2 linked regions of the Sus scrofa genome follow. The main gene of each other region encodes a partner of the protein of the gene in region 2 in a complex. Links are inferred from orthologs where the notes say so. Each region holds a gene or a part of one and is shown on either strand. Other genes may lie near its edges. The genes, in order: PTPN1 and SRC.

Region 1 (8,683 bases), about 12 Mb from region 2:
ACAGCAGGGCACGCACAGCCCACTCTGGAGAGACTGATGGTGGGGTGGGAACAGGTCAAGGGCAATTTGACTTTTTTCCCTTTTACATTCACCTATGCATCTGACTTGGTCACAATAAACATGTATATATATATAGAGAGAGAGTTTTAAAATATTTTTCTAATAAAAAAGACCAAGTAAAAGAAATATAAAGGCAATTCAAGGAAATACATAGGCAGAAATATCAACTTTATGGACTGGCAACCACAAAGACAGTGGCGTAAACGGTAGAGAAATCTATGACTTACCGATCCTTTCTCCATCACTCTGTTGAGCATAACAACGCCCCTGCTCTTCTGCTCCCACACCATCTCCCAAAAGTGACCACAGGTATTGGGCAATGGGCCCTGCAAACACACAATTCACAGAGTGTATGCATTTTACACATAGACACACTCCAGTGGGAGCTCACTGTTGGCAGTTAGTCAATGACAGCGCCCTTAGGCAATGTGGTGGCCTTGGCTGGGACAGGGACCCTCCGCTCCCTGCCTGGCAGACAGTAACCACAATTCTATTTCCTACCACAGGGTAAAAGGTCATTTCCGCATCTCAGAGCTGGTTCAGAGCTGAGCAACGGAGGAGAGAAAACACTGATTCTGCTTTCCAGTTGGGGCTGGCTGGTTGAGGGGCTCCACTGAGATCCATGCCTCAGGGCAGGTGGAAACGAACAAAATCTTGGCTGCAGGTCGGAGGTGGTATGGGGAAGAGGCCAACTGTGATGCCCCTGCTCCAACCACGTACCATCTGTGTGACCACAGAAGTTAATTCACCTCTCCTTGCCTCGGCTTCTCCACCTAACCTCACTCACCTCATCAGGGCACCTAGTCACCGGGCTGTGAAGATGAACTATGTTCATATATATAAAAGCCTTACTACAGTACCTGGAACACAGTATATACCCAACAGAATGTTAGCTATTGTTATTACTATTAGTAATGGCTAACCTGACCAAGACAGCCTTCATTTTGGATCAAGAAGAACCACGGAACATAGAAACGCGGACACACAAATGGTCAGGTGGGTGGCCCAAGGGGTATGGTGTCACTGGAGAATCAGGGGTGGTGGTGTCTGCCAAGCAGTTGGTCTGTCTCACTCCAGCCCACCTGGCAATGGGCACAGATCTTTACTGGATACAGTGTATGAATGCCAGGCTATGAACTGAGTTTGTCTCAATTTTTAGTACTGCCCAGAAGGGACATCACCCATCATCTCTGGCCAGCACAACTTCTTCTAGAATCGTTTCCATACATTTTCATCCAAAATCTCCTTATTCTTTGCATCTTTTCCCTTTAGGTCTCACAACACTTCCCTTGACCATGTGAGCCCTCTCACGTTCTTCTCTGAACTTTTCAGGGATTTGCTACAAATCCACGCTCCACACAGCCTCAGATAGCAGCAGATAACCTGCGAAAAACCCCTTCCAGCAAACCAACAGAGAAACGGCTTCGGGAAGGCGGGAGTTATGGGGTCCCTGGGCCTTTGACCCTCCCACCTAGTCATGAGGAGCCTGTGGCCAGGGCCCTACAGCTGTGGCTCCCATCGGTTACTTCCCTGCCTCCCAGTATCACCCCAGTTTAGGATGGGTCTGAGGGATTAAAAATCACCTAAGATGTGAAAGCATACACACCAAACGTAGCCAACACTTGAAGATGGAGTGAAGGCTGGCATCGGTGACATTAATCCCTGTACTTCTATACTTCTGGCTGTTAAAAACCACGACTCTAAGATGCAGACTACATACGGAAGGGATAACCAGCAAGGTCCTACTGTCTAACACAGGGAACTGTATTCAGTATCCTGAGATAAATCATAATGGAAAAGAATGTAAAAAAGAATGTGTATATATACATATATAACTGAATCACTTTTCTGTATAGCAGACATCAACACTGTAAATCAACCTACCTGAATTTTAAAAAATGAGACTATAGGCATGTGTTATGTGCATAACATTAAATAACATTAAAAATAAAAATTGGGTAGGGTTTGCCTGACTTTGTGGCTTGGGACATATTTCACCGACCAGGGGTGCCTCTTTGGGGTCTGGCTGCTTCGATCCCTTACGTAAATCTCAGGACAGAGGGAGACCTATCCCTCCGGATATCCTCTGACATCCATGGTACCATCTGGCAGACAGAACCTCAGGCACAGACAGAACGTCTGAGTAACTGTGAGGGCATGGGGTGAGGGGTGGGGGGGCCGTGGTGTCAAAGTTTCCATGGTGACTTCCTAATGCTCCATGTGACTTTACACACCCTAGCTTTGCTTTGGCTTCCTGACCCCACACCAAAGCTGAATGGCTGAAATGAGGAAGTAAGAAACTTGACTACTTCTTTTTTAAGAGAAGTTCCCAAGAAGACACTTTTGCTTCAGACCTCTTCCCACCAGCTCGCCACAACCAGGGTGTCCTTCCTTTACACCCCGCCCCAGAGGTGACGGGAAGACTACAGGCGAGGCCCTGGGCATTTATTCAGCGGCCCCCAGAATTGAACACACAGCATGGCTCATGTCCCGTACACCCACTGGAAGGTGTCTGGCTGATTCTGGTCATGTGCAGAGAGGAACTGGGGCAGGACAAAAGGGACAGTAAAGAAGGGCCATGGGGGATATGCCCTGTTCCAAAGCATACTTTGTTCAATGTACTTCCTGACTTCACTGTCATTTTAGTCTCCTAATATATATATATATATATATATACATATATATATATATTTTTTTTTTTGTCTTTTTAGGGCCATATCTGTGGCATATGGAGGTTCCCAGACTAAGGGTCTAATAAGAGCTGTTGCTGCCGGCCTACGCCAGAGCCACAGCAACCCCAGTTCTGAGCCAAGTCTGCGACCTACACCACCAAAGCTCATGGCAACGCTGGATCCTTAAACCACTGAGTGAGGCCAGGGACCGAACCTGCAACCTCATGGTTCCTAGTGGATTAATTGGATTCACTTCCACTGTGCCAAAACGGGAATTCCTTAGTCTCCAAGTATTAAGCAGAGTTATGATGTTTGCAATCACCCTATAACCCAAAGCAAATGTAAGACTGATAAAAGTGATATGGAATGAGAAAATGAAAATTATGATTAAAAAAAAAAAAAAGGAGTTCCCGTCTTGGAGCAGTGGAAACGAATCCTACTAGTAACCATGAAGTTGTGGGTTCAATTCCTGGCCTTGCTCAGTGGGTTAAGGATCTGGTGTTGCCATGAGCTGTAGTGTAGGCTGGCATCTGTAGCTGGAATAGGACTCCCAGCCTGGAAACCTCCACATGCTAAGGGTGTGGCCCTAAGGAAAAAAGAAAAAAAAAAAAAAAAAAAGAGAGAGAGAGAAAAACCTGGACCAATTTATTTACAGGTAGCAGATTAGATTGAGACTTGAGAACATTAATTAAAAAGAAACTCCTTTATCCCCTTTCCCACGCATAGTCTTCAGGTCATATACCAGTAAGTGTTTCGCAAAAGGTCAGCTATTAAACCACTTCTATGATTTTTTTCCATAAAGATGCCAAAAGCCAATGGGAAGGTCAAGTGATTTTGCACGCTTGTTTACACAATCTAATCACCCGCCCCTCGCCTGCTCCCACTGCCAAAGAAGGAGCACCAGGCAGAGGAATTCTGAATGGCTATCTAGACAAAGATTCCTGATGCCCTGAGGAGGGTTATAGGCTCTTCTCTAGGTGCTGCCCCTGTCAACAGCCCAAAGGCACCCCTGGCATTTTACTGCTGTTTTCTACAAAACCAGCAATGCCATGCTTCCCAGAAAAGATTCATGTCACAACTAGACTGAATCTCTGAAAGAAGGCTTTTTCCTTCCCTTGTTGTTTTCCTGGGTTGTTTAAAACCTGATCTTCTACAAGAAGTGGCAGATTTTAACTGAGGTTTAGATAACAGCACTCTAACACCAACAAACACAAAACTATCAAAGAAAAATTCACACAATCTGTTTACCTGGGTGAGAATGTAACTCCTTTGGGCTTCTTCCATTTTTATCAAACTAGCATTGATATAGTCATTATCTTCTTGATGGAGTTTAATCCGACTATGGTCAACTGAAAGGCAAACCAGAACTGAGGTTAATCTGGAGGACTCACACTGTCTGCACAGGCAGCACGCGCCACAGGGTAAGCAAAGAAGGCGAGGTGGTGGCACCAGGCGCGTTCATGTTGGCTGAGGCCAAGCCTCACTGAGATCAGTCATCATCATGAGAATGACTAGCTCTCTTTTCTTTTTTTGTAATTTTTAATTAAAGTATAACTGATTCACAATGTTCTATCAATTTGTGATGTACAGCAGAGTGACCCAGTCACACACATATACATATTCTTTTTCTATTACCTGCCAGAACGGCTGGTGTTTTCCCAAAGATTTTTGGAAGTATTTGAAACATAACACTAAATAGCAACAGAGACAAACTACACTAAAACACAGATTATGTACTGTTTGGGAAATCTGTTTTTAGGCGATATTGTCTTAACGTAATGATATTTATTACTGTCCTCACAACTCCAGAAAACTGGGAAGAGGGAACGTCAAGGGATCTGTATTCTGATGCCTATTACATACATACGTTTAAAGGTTAAAAAATACAGTGGCTTCAGATTTCCTGTCGTGGCTCAGTGGTTAACAAACCCAACTAATAACCATGAGGTTTCGGGTTCAATGCCTGGCCTCGTTCAGTGGGTTAAGGATCCCGAACTGCCATGAGCTGTGGTGTAGGTCACAAACATGGCCCAGATCTGGCGTTGCTATGGTTCTAGCGTAGGCCAGCAGCTATAGTTGCAATTCAATCCCTAGCCTGGGAACCTCCATGTGCCGCAGATGTGGCCCTAAAAAAAAAAAAAAAAACAAAACACAGTGGCTTCAATCTTTAAAAGGGAACAAAATCCACCCCAATTCCACCCAGTCCCCAGAGCTCTTGTTAGTAAATGAGCTGAGTAGGTAAGACTTAGGACCACACCTCAACCTAACCTATGCCTAATGGTTTGAAGACTAAATGGCCTAAGTAAACAGCAATGTGAAAGGTTATACCTTGAATTCCTTGACACGGGATTTTTTGTTTTTTGTTTTTTTTTTAAGTTCAAGAATAACATAAATGTAATAATCAAAGACAAAAGAGTTTAAGTGGAAAAAATAAACTCTGAATCCAAAACACTGAAAGTATATATATTTTTTTGTCCTTTTTTTTGCTATTTCTTGGGCCGCTCCTGCGGCATATGGAGGTTCCCAGGCTAGGGGTCAAATAGGAGCTGTATCCTCTGGCCTATACCAGAGCCACAGCAAAGCGGGATCCGAGCCGCGTCTGCGACCTACACCACAGGTCACGGCAACGCCGGATCGTCAACCCACTGAGCAAGGGCAGGGACCGAACCCGCAACCTCATGGTTCCCAGTCAGATTCGTCAACCACTGCGCCACGATGGGAACTCCTTTATTTATTTATTTATTTATTTAGTCTTTTTTGAAAGTATATTAAATGTAACTTTCAGAATAGTTTATTTTTTTAAATTTTATTTATTTATTTATTTATTTACTGGGCTTTTTGTCTTTTCTCGGGCCACACCCATAGCATATGGGGGTTCCCAGGCTAGGGGTCTAATCAGAGCTGTAGCCGCTGGCCTACACCACAGCCACGCCACATCCGAGCCACATCTTGGACCTACACCACAGCTCACGGCAACGCTGGATCCTTAACCCGCTAAGCAAGGCCAAGGATCGAACCCGCAACCTCATGGTTCCTAGTTGGATTCGTTAACCACTGAGCCACGATGGGAACTCCCGTTTTTTATTTTTTTACTTTTGTCTTTTTAGGGCCACAACTGTGCCATATGGAGGTCCCCAGGCTAGGGGTCAAATTGGAGCTGTAGATGCCAGCCTACACCACAGCCATAGCAATGTGGGATCCAAGCCGCATCTGTGACCTACACCACAGCTCACAGCAATGCTGGATCCTTAACCCACTGAGCGAGGCCAGGGATCGAACCTGCCTCCTCATAGATGATAGAATCATTTCCACAGAGCCACAATGGGAACTCCGAGAACAGTTCTTAGGAATAAATTCATATTGGAAAGATTTGCCCCAAGTTACGAAGAAGCCCAGCACTTTTTTTCTCCCCTTTTACTATGACTTTGTTATAAAAGCTATGGTTTCCTAAGGGCCACTTTCCTCATCCCACTAGTATAGCTAAAAAGAGCAGGTGGGATTACACTTAGAACGTATAAGCAATGAGGTTCCACTGTACGGCACAGGGAACTACATCCAATCTCTTGGGGTAGGCCATCATGGAAGATAACATAAGAAAAGGAGTGTACATATGTATGACTGGGTCACCTTTGCTACAGAGCAGAAATTGGCACACCATTGTAAATCAACTATAATAAAAACTAAAAAAACCAAAAAGAGAGCAGGTGGTTATTTTTATTTCTGGTACAACACAAGGGATGATGAACTCAGGTGATCATCCATAAATTTCTCCCCCTGCCCAGTGGAAAAGGAAAAATTAGTGGGAATAAGTGGTTTGAGACTTTGTTCTAAAGGGTCTCAAAGAGATGTTTTTGAAAATCAGTCACTGTTTGGAATAATGTTTCTCATCATAGAGGGTTAATACAAACTGAAACACTTGGGTAATATTTAAGTGGGTCATGGAGATAAGAGATCTCAAAAAAATTATGACTGGCACTGGTGGTTATGTGAGTGGACTCACACAGCACTGGGTGGGGACTTTGGGCAAACAACTTATCGTCTGAGTGCTGGGTTTTCCACCTGCCAAATGGAAGCTAACAACAATCACTTTGTCCCTTGAAACATTTCCCCCATTTCCTCCACAACCTTAAAAGCAAATTACTTTTTCTACTGAAGATGGAGAAAGGGGAGAAAAAGAAAAATATAAAGAGTGAGACTGGACAGGGGTGAAAAAGCTTTTCAATTGTATCTCTGGAAGAATATTTTATTTTATTTTATTTTATTTTATTTATTTATTTATTTATTTATTTGCTATTTCTTTGGGCCGCTCCCGCGGCATATGGAGGTTCCCAGGCTAGGGGTTGAATCGGAGCTATAGCCACTGGCCTACGCCAGAGCCACAGCAATGAGGGATCCGAGCCACGTCTGCAACCTACACCACAGCTCATGGCAACGCCAGATCATTAACCCACTGAGCAAGGGCAGGGACTGAACCCGCAACCTCATGGTTCCTAGTCAGATTCGTTAACCACTGCGCCACGACGGGAACTCCCAAGAATATTTTAAATGCTGTTTTTTTTTCCTCTGTAAAACTGGTTCATAAAACCATTTAGATGAGCACTGATCAAAAACGTTGAAAAGGAATATTAAAGACAACATTAATGCCTAATTCAGAGCAAGTACAGCAAAAGCTGCAGACCAAGGGCCCCGCCGGCAGTGCGTCAAAGATTCCAACAGTGATTGTTCTTTCCAGTTCAGAGTAGCTGCCCCAGAGCTTCACAGCAGAATCACCTGAGAAGAGGTTACTAGCATTATTTTTAAATAAAACCTATGAGGTGCAATGACCTATAAATCAAGAGAACTGGGCACTGGGGCAAAATCATGCGTCACGTGACCTAGAACTGTACTTCAGATGGTCCTGGCGGGTACCTTCAGATAACAGCCGTCACAACCACAGCTAACACTCATGAGCAAGACACTGGGCTAACTGGCTGATGTTACTTTATTTCATCTTTACACAATCCTGAGATCTGTGTGACTCCTGTTTGACTGAAGATCAGAGGAAAGGTCAACCGGCCTGAGGCCTCTCAGCTCTGAGGGGGAGAGGGAGTCACCAAGCCAGGCAGGGACCTCCAGGCTAGCAGTCGGAGGCAGCCTGCTCTGTGCCCACGCAGGTCCAATTTACTCCCCTTCCAGGGGCCTGGGCACTGCACAATTCAGGGCAGGGGACACTGCCGACTCTCCTGCAGGCGGGCACCAAGAGCTGCCACCAGAGCCAGGCACAGTGAGCTTCAGCAGGCTTGAGGGAGGTGCCTGGCTGAGGACTGACCGGCTGTATCTCCCGTGTTCCTGGCAGAGAACACTGCCATGGAGCTGTCGGCACCACATCCCTTGCTGACTGATAACGGCCACATGGAGGTGAGTCAAAAAGTCCTCTGTGGCCTAGAGAAAGGGGCAAAGTTCATGTCCTTTACTCAGCTCCAGTTTTTCTTACTTGATACAAATTCTAACACATTTGGTTATTTACTTTTCCCATCACTGGACTGAAAACCAATTACACAGAAGGCAGAAAAGGCGGCCAGCAGGCACACTGAGAGCTAATAGCAGGAAAGAGCCAGAAAAATGACGATGGCGGCAGGCAGTGGGTGTCGGGTCAACAAGCAGAGCTGCGTCTTTAGTTGAGGAGGTGAAATGCTCCCCCCCCTTAATGCCTGTAGGGCACCATTATAGTTCATTACAATGCTCAGGGTCTAATAATACTGTTGCTGAGTCATCCAGAAGGGGTTCTATTATGCCTGTGACACTCTGCTTCAGCTGGTAGGAAAATGATTCATCACTGAAACAGTCAAAGCTAAAAAAAAGTGCTTTGAACTTAGCTGAATTTTCCAGAAACTGAAACCTTACCCCTTCTACAAGGGTGGAAAAATGAACCATTACTATAAGTCTCTAATGCCTTTATTATAGGAAACAAT
Region 2 (9,462 bases):
GAAGTAAGCAATGAGTTGCTGTTTTACTAACAATGTTTTAAGCAAAATAATGGACAGAGAGTCACTTGCTGATCCACCAGGCCAGACTGGCTACTCTTGCAATGTGATAATCCTGAAACTTGGTAGGGTTGCTGCACCCACTTTATTGATTAGTAAATTGAGGCTCAAAGAGGGTGAGGTTACATAGTTGATGAATGGAAGTGGTGGGACTCTTGTATGTGGATTCCTAGTCTGGGTCCTCTCTCTGGCCAAGTGGGCAGTGCCTGCTCTGTGCTGGGCATAGACCAGGCCATAGTCCCTGTTCTTGGGGTTGGAACAGACAAACCCTGAATGGCTTGTTTTTTTTGTTTTTTGGGTTTTTTTTTTTTTTTTTTTGTCTTTTTAGGACTGCACCTGTGGCATATGGAATTTCCCAGGATAGGGGTCAAATAGTAACTGCAGCTACCGGCCTACACCACAGCCACAGCAACACCAGATCTGAGCTGCATCCACAACCTATGCCACAACTTGTGGCAACCCTGGATCCTTAACCTGCTGAGAGAGGCCAGGGATTGAACCTGCATCTTTATGGATACTAGTTGGGTTCTTAACCTGCTGAGCCACGATGGGAACTCCCCAAATGGCTTGGGATGTGCCTCCATCAGAGTATTTCTTTCAGGAAGCATGTCCTGGAGGAGGTGGCACTTACTCGGGGTCTTGGTGGACAGGGATGTGGCATGAGCATTCCTGGTAGGGGTTACAGCCTGAGTGAAGGCCCAGAGGGGTGGATGAAAATAATGAACTTTTCCAACACTCCATCATGAAACCAGTGTGCTGGCCACATCCTCCTGAGACTATCAACTTCTGAGCCAAACCAGTGGTGGCTCCAGGTGGAAGGTGGCATCTGTGCTCGGAGCCCAGATTTGTTGCCCTGACTCTTCCAAGAGAGTGCATAGGTGTGAATGAGGGCTCGGACATGCTGGGTGTAAGTCGCTTCATCCTCACGTGAGCCGCCTGAGGGATGCACCATCTTTACCCATTTTGCAGGCTGGCATAGTGAGGTTCAGAGAAAAGGCAGGCTTAAAGTCACATATCCATGAAGGGGTAGAGATGGGACTTAAACCCAGGTCTGTGGGTCCAAAGTTTGTGCCTTTAAGCCCTCTGCCATCCTAGCTCTAAAGGAAGCCCAACTTTCTGTCGAATTCCTAGAGATGAATCTAGTCATGTGCTGGTAAATATTTAACAGCTAGCTCTCGGGCAGGAAAAAAGCCTTGATTTGTAGAATTTGCTGATTTCCAAGGTGTTAATAGTTCCAACATGGCTGATATCAAGCTACCAACATGACAGCCCTGAACCTGGCTTTGGGAAGAGATGAATATAGTCGGCTCTTGCAGATGAAGAGTGGTGAGGGCCAGCCCCAGCACACACTGGATGAACCTCCCACCCGTAGCCTGGGTCTCCAGTCAAGGCCTCAGGCCTATCTGAGGAGTGAACAAGGGCTGAGAAACCTGCTACTCCAGCTGGGGGCCCTGCCCGGTATCTCGGGAAGCCACGGTTAATCTTTAAGCCAGCCTTGCAAATACGTGCAGCCATTTCACCAGCCCAGGCCGGCTTCTGGGGCTGGCTCTGCTGCTGCATTTCCAGGAGACTTCAAGCAGCCCCTTTCCCCTCTGGCCTTAGTTTACCAACCATGGTAGTTGCCATTCATGGCGCGCAACCTCAGCTACTCCCAACCTTGTCAGTTCTAACCTTCCCAGGAGTCCTCGGAGGCCGTGTTTGCTCCCGTTTCGTAGGTGAGGGGACTGGACTGGGGAAGTCGATGGGCTTGTACAAAGGTATAGCAGGCGGCGATCAGTCTGGCTCCAGGCCTTGCTCATTCCTGGTCTCCTGGATACTATATTGTACCCTGATTCCCCTCCCAGCTCCTCTCAGAAGGAGAAGCCCAAACCTGACACCATTTGACCCTGCTGGGCCTTAGTTTCCCATCTGTGAAATGGGAAAACTTTCTGAGAAGGAAAGTGGAGGCAGAGGATGGCATTTATTTATTATTTGTTTATTTATTTTTTGTCTTTTGTCTTTTTAAGGCCACACCCGCGGCATGTGGAGGTTCCCAGGCTAGGGGTCTAATCGGAGCTGTTGCCGCTGGCCTAGGCCACAGCCACAGCAAGGCCAGATCTGAGCCTCATCTGCGACCAACACCACAGCTCACAGCAACGCCGGATCCCTAACCCACTGAGTGAGGCCAGGGATCAAACCTGCAACTTCGCGGTTCCTAGTAGGATTCTTTTCCGCCGAGCCACAATGGAACTCCAGATGGTGGTATTTAAAGCTGGGTTCGGGCCCTCCCTTCCCCTGTGCTGTAACGTGCGAAGAACCAAGGATACAGCACCCACCCTCAAGAGGGCAGTCCTGAAGCCAGAGGGGGAATAGGTGGTGCAGGAGGCTCTGTAGCTAAACCAGCCTTTCCTCAATGTCCCCTCCTTTCTCTGCTATACTCTCTGCCCCCTGCGTCCAGAGGTCCTCAGCCTCTTCATTTACATGGAAGTATAAGTGCCACTAAACACCTATTTCAGCCCCATCCTAAGTAGGAGTATCTGGACTGGCTGACATTGGATAGGCTGCCTTAGTTTTTTTTCTCTTCTATCCATTAAAAGGAATACATATCTATTAAAATAAACGTTACTCTTTCCCACACTGTCCTTTCTGCTCCAGTCCCCACTTTGGGAAACTCAGGTCAAGGAAACTCAGGTCAAGGCCAGGGTCCAAGGCCTATTTTTTTTTGTTTGTTTTAGGGCCACACCCGCAGCATATAGAAGTTCCCAGGCTAGGGGTCAAATTGGAGCTACAGCTGCTGGCCTACACCACAGCCGCAGCAACGCAGGATCCAAGCCCTGTCTGTGACCTATACCACAGCTCACGGCAACATCTGATCCTTAACCCACTGAGGGAGGCCAGGGATCAAGGATGCTAGACGGATTTGTTTCTGCTGCACCACAACAGGAAATCCCAAGACCTGGTTCTTGTCAGGTGATTCCCTTCTCTGTGCCTCAGTTTCTTTCTCTATAAAATAGGGATAATCTTGGGTCTGCCCAGCCCAGCTGGTTGGTACGAATAGATCATAAAGTTGACCTGAATAGCTTAGCGTGGCACCTGGCAAGGAGTGAGCACTCCATCAGTGCTGCAGTTATTATTATTACTGATAATTTCGGGAGAGGTAGATTTGGGGTAAACAGGGTAGGTGGATTGGGGGCAGTGAGGGTGGGCATTTTCGCGTGAGGGCTGATGGGTGTCCCAAAGGGTAGGGACTCTCTTGGGGCGGGGTGGGGGGCGGGGCTTCCGTGCCCGGTGCCTCCGCCCCCCATTCCCCGCCCGCCCGGACCCCAGGGTTGGGGGGCGGGGGTGGCCCGCGCCTGGGTCTATCCCAGGTCACCGGCGGGGAATCCGTCCCGGCGCGCTTCCTCCTTCCTCCTCCTCCCGGCGGCCTGCCGGGCCCCTCCTCCCTGCTCGCGCGCTCCCTCCCTCCTCTTCCCCTCCCTGAGCCGCCGCCTCCTCCTCCTCCTCCTCCTCCTCCTCCCTCTCCCTTTCTCTCTCGATCTGTCTCTCCCGGCCGGGAATCCATTCCGGCCTGGGAGCCGGAGCGGCCTGGCCGCCGTGTGCCCGAACCCTTGGCCGTCCGGAGGTCCTTCCTCCCGTGCGTCTGCCTGCCGGTGCGTCCGCCTGTCCGCTGGCCCAGGTGAGCGCCCCCCACCCCGCCGCCGGCTCCCGGTCCCCGCCCGAGTGAGGGAGCCCCTGCCCGGGGACCACCCTGGCGTCGGATCGCCGGGCCGCTGGGGCTCCTGGCCCCCCCTTTTCCCCCCACCCACCCCCGGGCCGAGCTGCGATCCAGGAGCGCTGGGCCGGCGCACGGGGACGTGCCTGGTGCGGCCTTTTGTTGTGATGCCTGGGGGTGGGGGGGAGGGGGCTCTGTGGGGGGGCGTAGGGGTCCTGTCTGCGCTGGAACCCCCTCCGGCCCACCTTACCCCTACGGGCCCCTGAGAGCCGCGAGCTGGGCCTGAGCCCCCAGGCCAGGTCTAGGCCAAATCTGAAATCTGAGCCGGTCGGCGCCGCCTCTGGCCGCGGCTGCCCGGCCTGGCGCCCCTAGCCCGGGATGGGAGGTGATGAGGGGGCGGGCGGGGTGGGCCTGGGGGCGCCCGGGAGGGAGTGCTTGGCCAGGGCACCAGGATTTTCCCGTCTTCGTGGGGCTTTGGGTAGGGCCTGGTGCTGACGGCCTGAAAGGGACTGGGCCCGACTGTGCTTGGTTCCTGCTGCCCACAGCCCCCTAGACTTGCCTCTGGGCAGGCCCAGCCGCCTGTGTGCTCAGAAGTTGGCAAAAGTTTTGGGATTTCACCACCAGGCCGGGTCCATCTGCCTGCCCGGGCTGGCATTGGTGGTGGGTTTGAGTCCCAACAGGGACCACCACTTACTTGCCTTGCTGTGTGTCCTCAGGCAACTACCTGACCTCTCTGAGCTCAGAGTCCTCATCAGGCCCAGCTTGGGCCTGGCTGGGTTTACTACTGGGCTGTTGGAAGGATGGGGTGAACAGAAGGGGCTCACCTATAGGGTATCAGTTCAGGCAGACTTGATAGTGGCAAAGCCCTTGTGTGCCCCTGGGTCAGGCCTCCCAGGCTTTAGGGACTCTGTCTCTGGGTCACTAGAGGTGAGTCCAGGCTTAGCCACAGTACAGTTGAGATCAGACTTGATCTCAAGAATGGATCTGGCTGGTCCTGTGCTGACCCTCTTCTGGCCTCCTGGCTGGGGAGACAAAACAGCTGTAGGCTTCTCATCTCATAGGTGACCTGGGCCAAGGGACCGCGCGCCTCTGAGTCCATGTGTGTGCAGTGGGCATCCTCAGGGGAAGAATCTCTGTGCTTCTGCATGTAGGGGCTCGGCATGTAATAGGTGTTCAATAAATGCACACCTTACTGGATGAATTGCCTAAAAAAAGGTGGCTGGGAGGTGAAGTTGTTGGCCCAAGTGGGGTGCATCCCCAGAAGAAGATGGATTGGGTGCCCCCGAAGCCACTCCTAAACCCTTGAGAAAGAAATAGCCCTGAGCACCATTTTGTCCCCCAGCAGCTGTGTGACCTTAGGCAGTACGTGGCTCCCGCTGGCCTCAGTTTTGTTAAGTATAAAATGGGCCAGTGATCATGATCACTGCTGACATCTTCTGAGCGCCTCCTATGAGGGAGGGACTCTCATGTAGCCTCGTTTTGCTGGTGAGAAACCGAGGCTCAGAGAGGGGAAGGGACTTGACCAGGCCCACACAGCTTGAAGCTGGAGTGAGAGCCTCGACCTCAGAATCCCTGGTCTGGCTGCCCATGCACCCTTCCGATGAGGGGGGAGCAGTGGTTTCCCAGTGTGCGAACAGGCAGAGGACAGGGCTGGAAAAGACTATACCGATGAGTGATTGTATGGAAGCCACGCGGCCCTTTTAGTGATGTGGTGATGTGTGTGCCTTGGTGATGTGGTCTTTCCACCCAGGGAAGTGATTTACAGTGTGTCACCTCTCTCAGCTGACTGCCTGCCCAGGCCCTCCTGTGCGGCCCCTGGGGCTTGGCTCCTGAAGGTGTCCCTGCTGCTGGGAGGGCCCTCTCCTCTATGAGCTGCTTATCTGCTCTTGCTCTTTAAGGCTTAGCTCAAAGCCCACCTCTCCCAGGAAGGCCGCCTGGCTTTCTCCCACCTCCCCTAGCCTTTTCCTGGAGCATGAATGATCCCCAGCTCACAGCCAGTTCCTACATTGACTTCTTCCTTGATTGTGACCTGGGATGGAGGTGTTGTCTGGCTCCCCCAAGCCCCAGGAACCGGGGGGAGATGGCTCCGTGTCCTGCTGACATCCCTTGGTCCTCACTGACCCCATTTCCCCAAATCTGCCTGATACAGGCACCGATGATGTTCTAGGAGCTTTGAACTTGGGCCGAGCAGTGTGGGGATGGGTTAGCAGTGGGAGCTGTAGGAGGCATCTGGAGGCTTCCAGGAGGCGGTGATGAGAGGAAGCAGGAGTTTGCTCAACCGAGAAGGGGAGAGCGTGCTCAGCTACTTCCCAGGGCCCCTGGGTTGTGGGGAGTGGTCAGCCTTGGGGGGGTGGGGAGTGGGGGGGTGTCCTTGCTGGGGAATTGTGGACAGGTCCCTGGCTGCCAGGAAAGTTAAGTCTGGAGGGTGAGCTAAGTAGCAAACAAGTTGCCAAATATATTAATATGTAATCACGATGTGATAAGGGCTTAGAGAGAGATGTGAGGCGCAGAGGAATCCCGAAGCATGGAGGAGTTGGCCAGGCATGGAGCTACGGATAGGGCTTACCAGGCAGGGGACCTCCACGTGCAAGGGTCCTGAGGTGGGGGAGTGTGTGCCGTTATGGAGAAACAATGGGAGGGCCTGTGAGTCTGGAGCACAGAAAATTAAGGGGAGGGGGTCAGAGGTGAAATGGGGGGTTGTTATCAGCAGGGCTGGACCATGTGGGGCCATCTGGGCCTTGGGGAGGGGTTTGGCCTTCATCTTCACACAGGGGGCTGACTGGTATCCCCCGTGTCAACAGCCCCATGTTGGAGACCAGGGGTGCAGAGCTGCCCAAGGTGCCTGGTGCAACTAGATATGTGGGCTGGACTCCAGGTACTCTGTGGGGGCCCAGATCAGGTACAAGAGGAGTAGGCATTTGAGGCTGGGCTTTAAAGTAGAATAGGAGTTCGGTAGCAGGAAGCCAGGAGAGGCTGAGAGCCAGCGTTGGGGCAGTGCCATGCAGGGTGGCTGGAAGCTGGGAGTGAGGTGGGGAGGGGTCGGCTGGAGAGATGGAGACAGAGGCATGGTAAGGGCTCAAGAATCAGAAGGGCTTTCATTCAAGTTCTGACCGTGCCTGCTTGCTGTGTGTCTTTGGGTGATTCATGCCATCTTCCTGAGACTTAGCTTCCTTGTCTTGAAATGGGAACAGTACATATCTATCAGGTGAGAGTTAAAGGAGGGCTGCATGCCCAGTACCTGGTACCAGCAGGTACTCAGGAAATGAGTTGGCTCAATGGGTCCGGCCTCCCCAGCTGTCCAGTGAGGGCTTTGAGGGGATGACCTCACTGATTCTGACGGTGTGGGTCTAGGAAAGGATCCGCACTGGGTGACTTAAGTCCCACCTCAGCCTCTGTGTGGGAGGAGGCTCAGCTGGGGAGAGCACTGTTGGTCCAGCCCACCCCAGTTTCTTTTTCTTTGTTTTGCTTTTAGGGCCACACCCACGGCACATGGAAGTTCCCAGGCTAGGGGTTGAATTGGAGCTGCAGCTGCTGGCCTACACCACAGCCACAGCAGTGCCACATCCGAGCTGCCTCCTCGATCTACACCGCAGCTCACCCGATCCTTAACCCACCGAGCGAGGCCAGGGATCGAACCCGAGTCCTTATGGATACTAGTTGGGTTTGTTTACACTGGGTCACAAAGGGAACACCTGCCATCCCAGTTTCTTGAAAGCTCATGTTAGGTGGGATTGGCCCCATTTTCCAGTATTTACTAAGACCCAGAGAGAAGAAGCCACTTGGTTAGTATCTCCCAGTTGCCGAGTGACAGGGCTGAACTTAGGCTGTGGGGCTCTGGAGTCCTGGTCCAGGACTGGGTGTGGCCAGGCCCTCCCATGTCTCTGTAGGCCCTGGGACCCCTTCGGAGGCCTCCAGCCCCAAGCCCTGGGCCTTTGGTCCAGAGCCTTATTTCCTGCCTCCGTTCTGTGGCTCCCGAGCCTCTATCTCCCCTTGGGTTTCCCCAGCCCTTGACTTCCTCTCTGCTGCTCCTACCCTTTATCTCCATGGCAAACCACTCTGGTTTCCACTGGAGCCCCTGGGAGGGTGGGGGGCTACTTCCTTTGGGGGCACCCCAGTTTCCTCATCTATGAAGTGAGGTAGTATGTGTCATGGCCCCCAGGATGTCCCAAGGGGAGTGGAGGAAAGCGTTTCGCACACAGTGGCTCCATAACTAGGGGCAGGACAGAGCCAGAAACATGCACATGTCCTTTGTTTGCTGGCAGCTGATACCCCCTTCTTGTGACTTGGTTTCTGGAGCTGTAAAAGAGGCCCGCGTCTTGCACTCAGTAGGGCCAGGAGGAGGATGCGTTGAGGCTGTACCTTAGGCGCTCACCTGCTGGCTGGTTCTACATCATTCTTCCTGCGGAGGGTGACCCTCTAGGTCCTTCCTTTGTGTTCAAGGCCTCCTTCCCGCCTGTCTGTTCAAAGGCATATATCACGTAGCCTCTCTGAACCTCAGCTTCTGCACACCTCCCTGGTGAGGATTCAATCAGACGTGTCTCCCAGTGGCTGGAAACAACTGGATGCCCAGTAAATGGTACATCTTTCTTTCTCCCTTCGCTTGAGCAGGGGGACTCAGATATTATCTCATCTAGGAATGGCTCAGGGCTCAAATCCCCAAGATCGAGGTTGCTGTCTTGAGAAACATTCTGAGGCCGGTCTTGGCTTCGTGGGAAGGAGTGCTGTGATAGATTAGCAAGGTCTGCCCTGGCAGATGATTAGACATCATTGTCTGTGTGCCATGAGTTTGTCATTCCTGATCTCTTCTGACCTTCTCTTTTCACAGATGGGTAATTTGAGGCCAGAAAGACCCAGGACCTATTATCCAAGCAGGGAGAAAAATGCCCACCTCTTGTCTTTTCATCCAGGGCTCTCTCCTCCCAACCAGGCTGTGGGGGTGGATGTGGGGGTGGGGCTGAGTCACAGAGTAGAGGATTGGGGAAGATCTCAGAGCTGGAAGCCAGACCCCAATTTCCCCACCCCTTGCTGTGGGATCTTGAGCAAGTGACTTCCCCTCCAACCTGGGCCCCAGTACCGCCCCTCCTCTAGGAGCTACCCGAGAAGTTCCAGAATAAAATGAGAAGCCAGAGAGAAGAAGCCAGATGATCTTGCCCAAGTCCTTTCCTGCTCTGGTTCTCAGTTTCCTCATCTCTCCAGTGAGGGCTTTTCCCTCCTTGAGGCTCTGCAACAGAGCCCAGCTCCTCCAGGGGATGGCCTGGCTGAGTCCTCTTTGATGCCACGTGGAGGTGGGAGTGTCAGCAGGGCTGCAGGGCTATAAAAAGACTGTGGGAATTGGTCCTTTGAATCCTCAGACCTACTGGGCTGTGAGGCCAGCACAGGTGGACTCCCAGGGCTGGGGGAAGGAGGTCGGTGTTGCGAAGGGGTGGGGAGTCTTGGCCTCTCCCGTCAAGAATGGATGCTCTTCTCTCCAGCCGCTTTATCCAGATTTGCAGCCTTGACTTTTACTTTGTCTGATGGCGATGTTGTCACATTGCACCCTCCCCAGCCAGGTCATGGCAAGGTGGCTCATTCTATCCTTTGCCCCATCCCCGGGGTGGGTGGAATTTTTGTTCCTATCACACAGAAGGGAAACTGAGGCTCAGAGAGGCCAGGGGCTGGGACCACAATCACCCAGCAGAGTGAGATATGAGGTCAGAATCCTGGCTTCTGGTTGA

What was found.
Region 1: the proteins of SRC (region 2) and PTPN1 are in contact, whole or in part, in a crystal structure (PDB 3ZMQ), measured with the Homo sapiens proteins. The link is inferred for Sus scrofa from reciprocal best matches to the Homo sapiens genes SRC and PTPN1. Residues at the interface, in NP_005408.1 of Homo sapiens: Glu527, Gln529, Tyr530, Gln531, Pro532; in NP_002818.1 of Homo sapiens: Arg45, Tyr46, Arg47, Asp48, Val49, Asp181, Phe182, Ser216, Ala217, Gly218, Ile219, Gly220, Arg221, Ser222, Gln262.

The regions. Positions count from the first base shown.
Region 1 is NC_010459.5:52,062,447-52,071,129, reverse strand, and holds part of PTPN1 (tyrosine-protein phosphatase non-receptor type 1), read right to left. Parts: intron 4,082-8,683; coding exon 3,981-4,081; intron 387-3,980; coding exon 288-386; intron 1-287. UniProt on the Homo sapiens protein: Tyrosine-protein phosphatase which acts as a regulator of endoplasmic reticulum unfolded protein response. Mediates dephosphorylation of EIF2AK3/PERK; inactivating the protein kinase activity of EIF2AK3/PERK.
Region 2 is NC_010459.5:40,467,626-40,477,087, forward strand, and holds the start of SRC (proto-oncogene tyrosine-protein kinase Src), read left to right. Parts: upstream 1-3,363; 5' UTR 3,364-3,712; intron 3,713-9,462. UniProt on the Homo sapiens protein: Non-receptor protein tyrosine kinase which is activated following engagement of many different classes of cellular receptors including immune response receptors, integrins and other adhesion receptors, receptor protein tyrosine kinases, G protein-coupled receptors as well as cytokine receptors.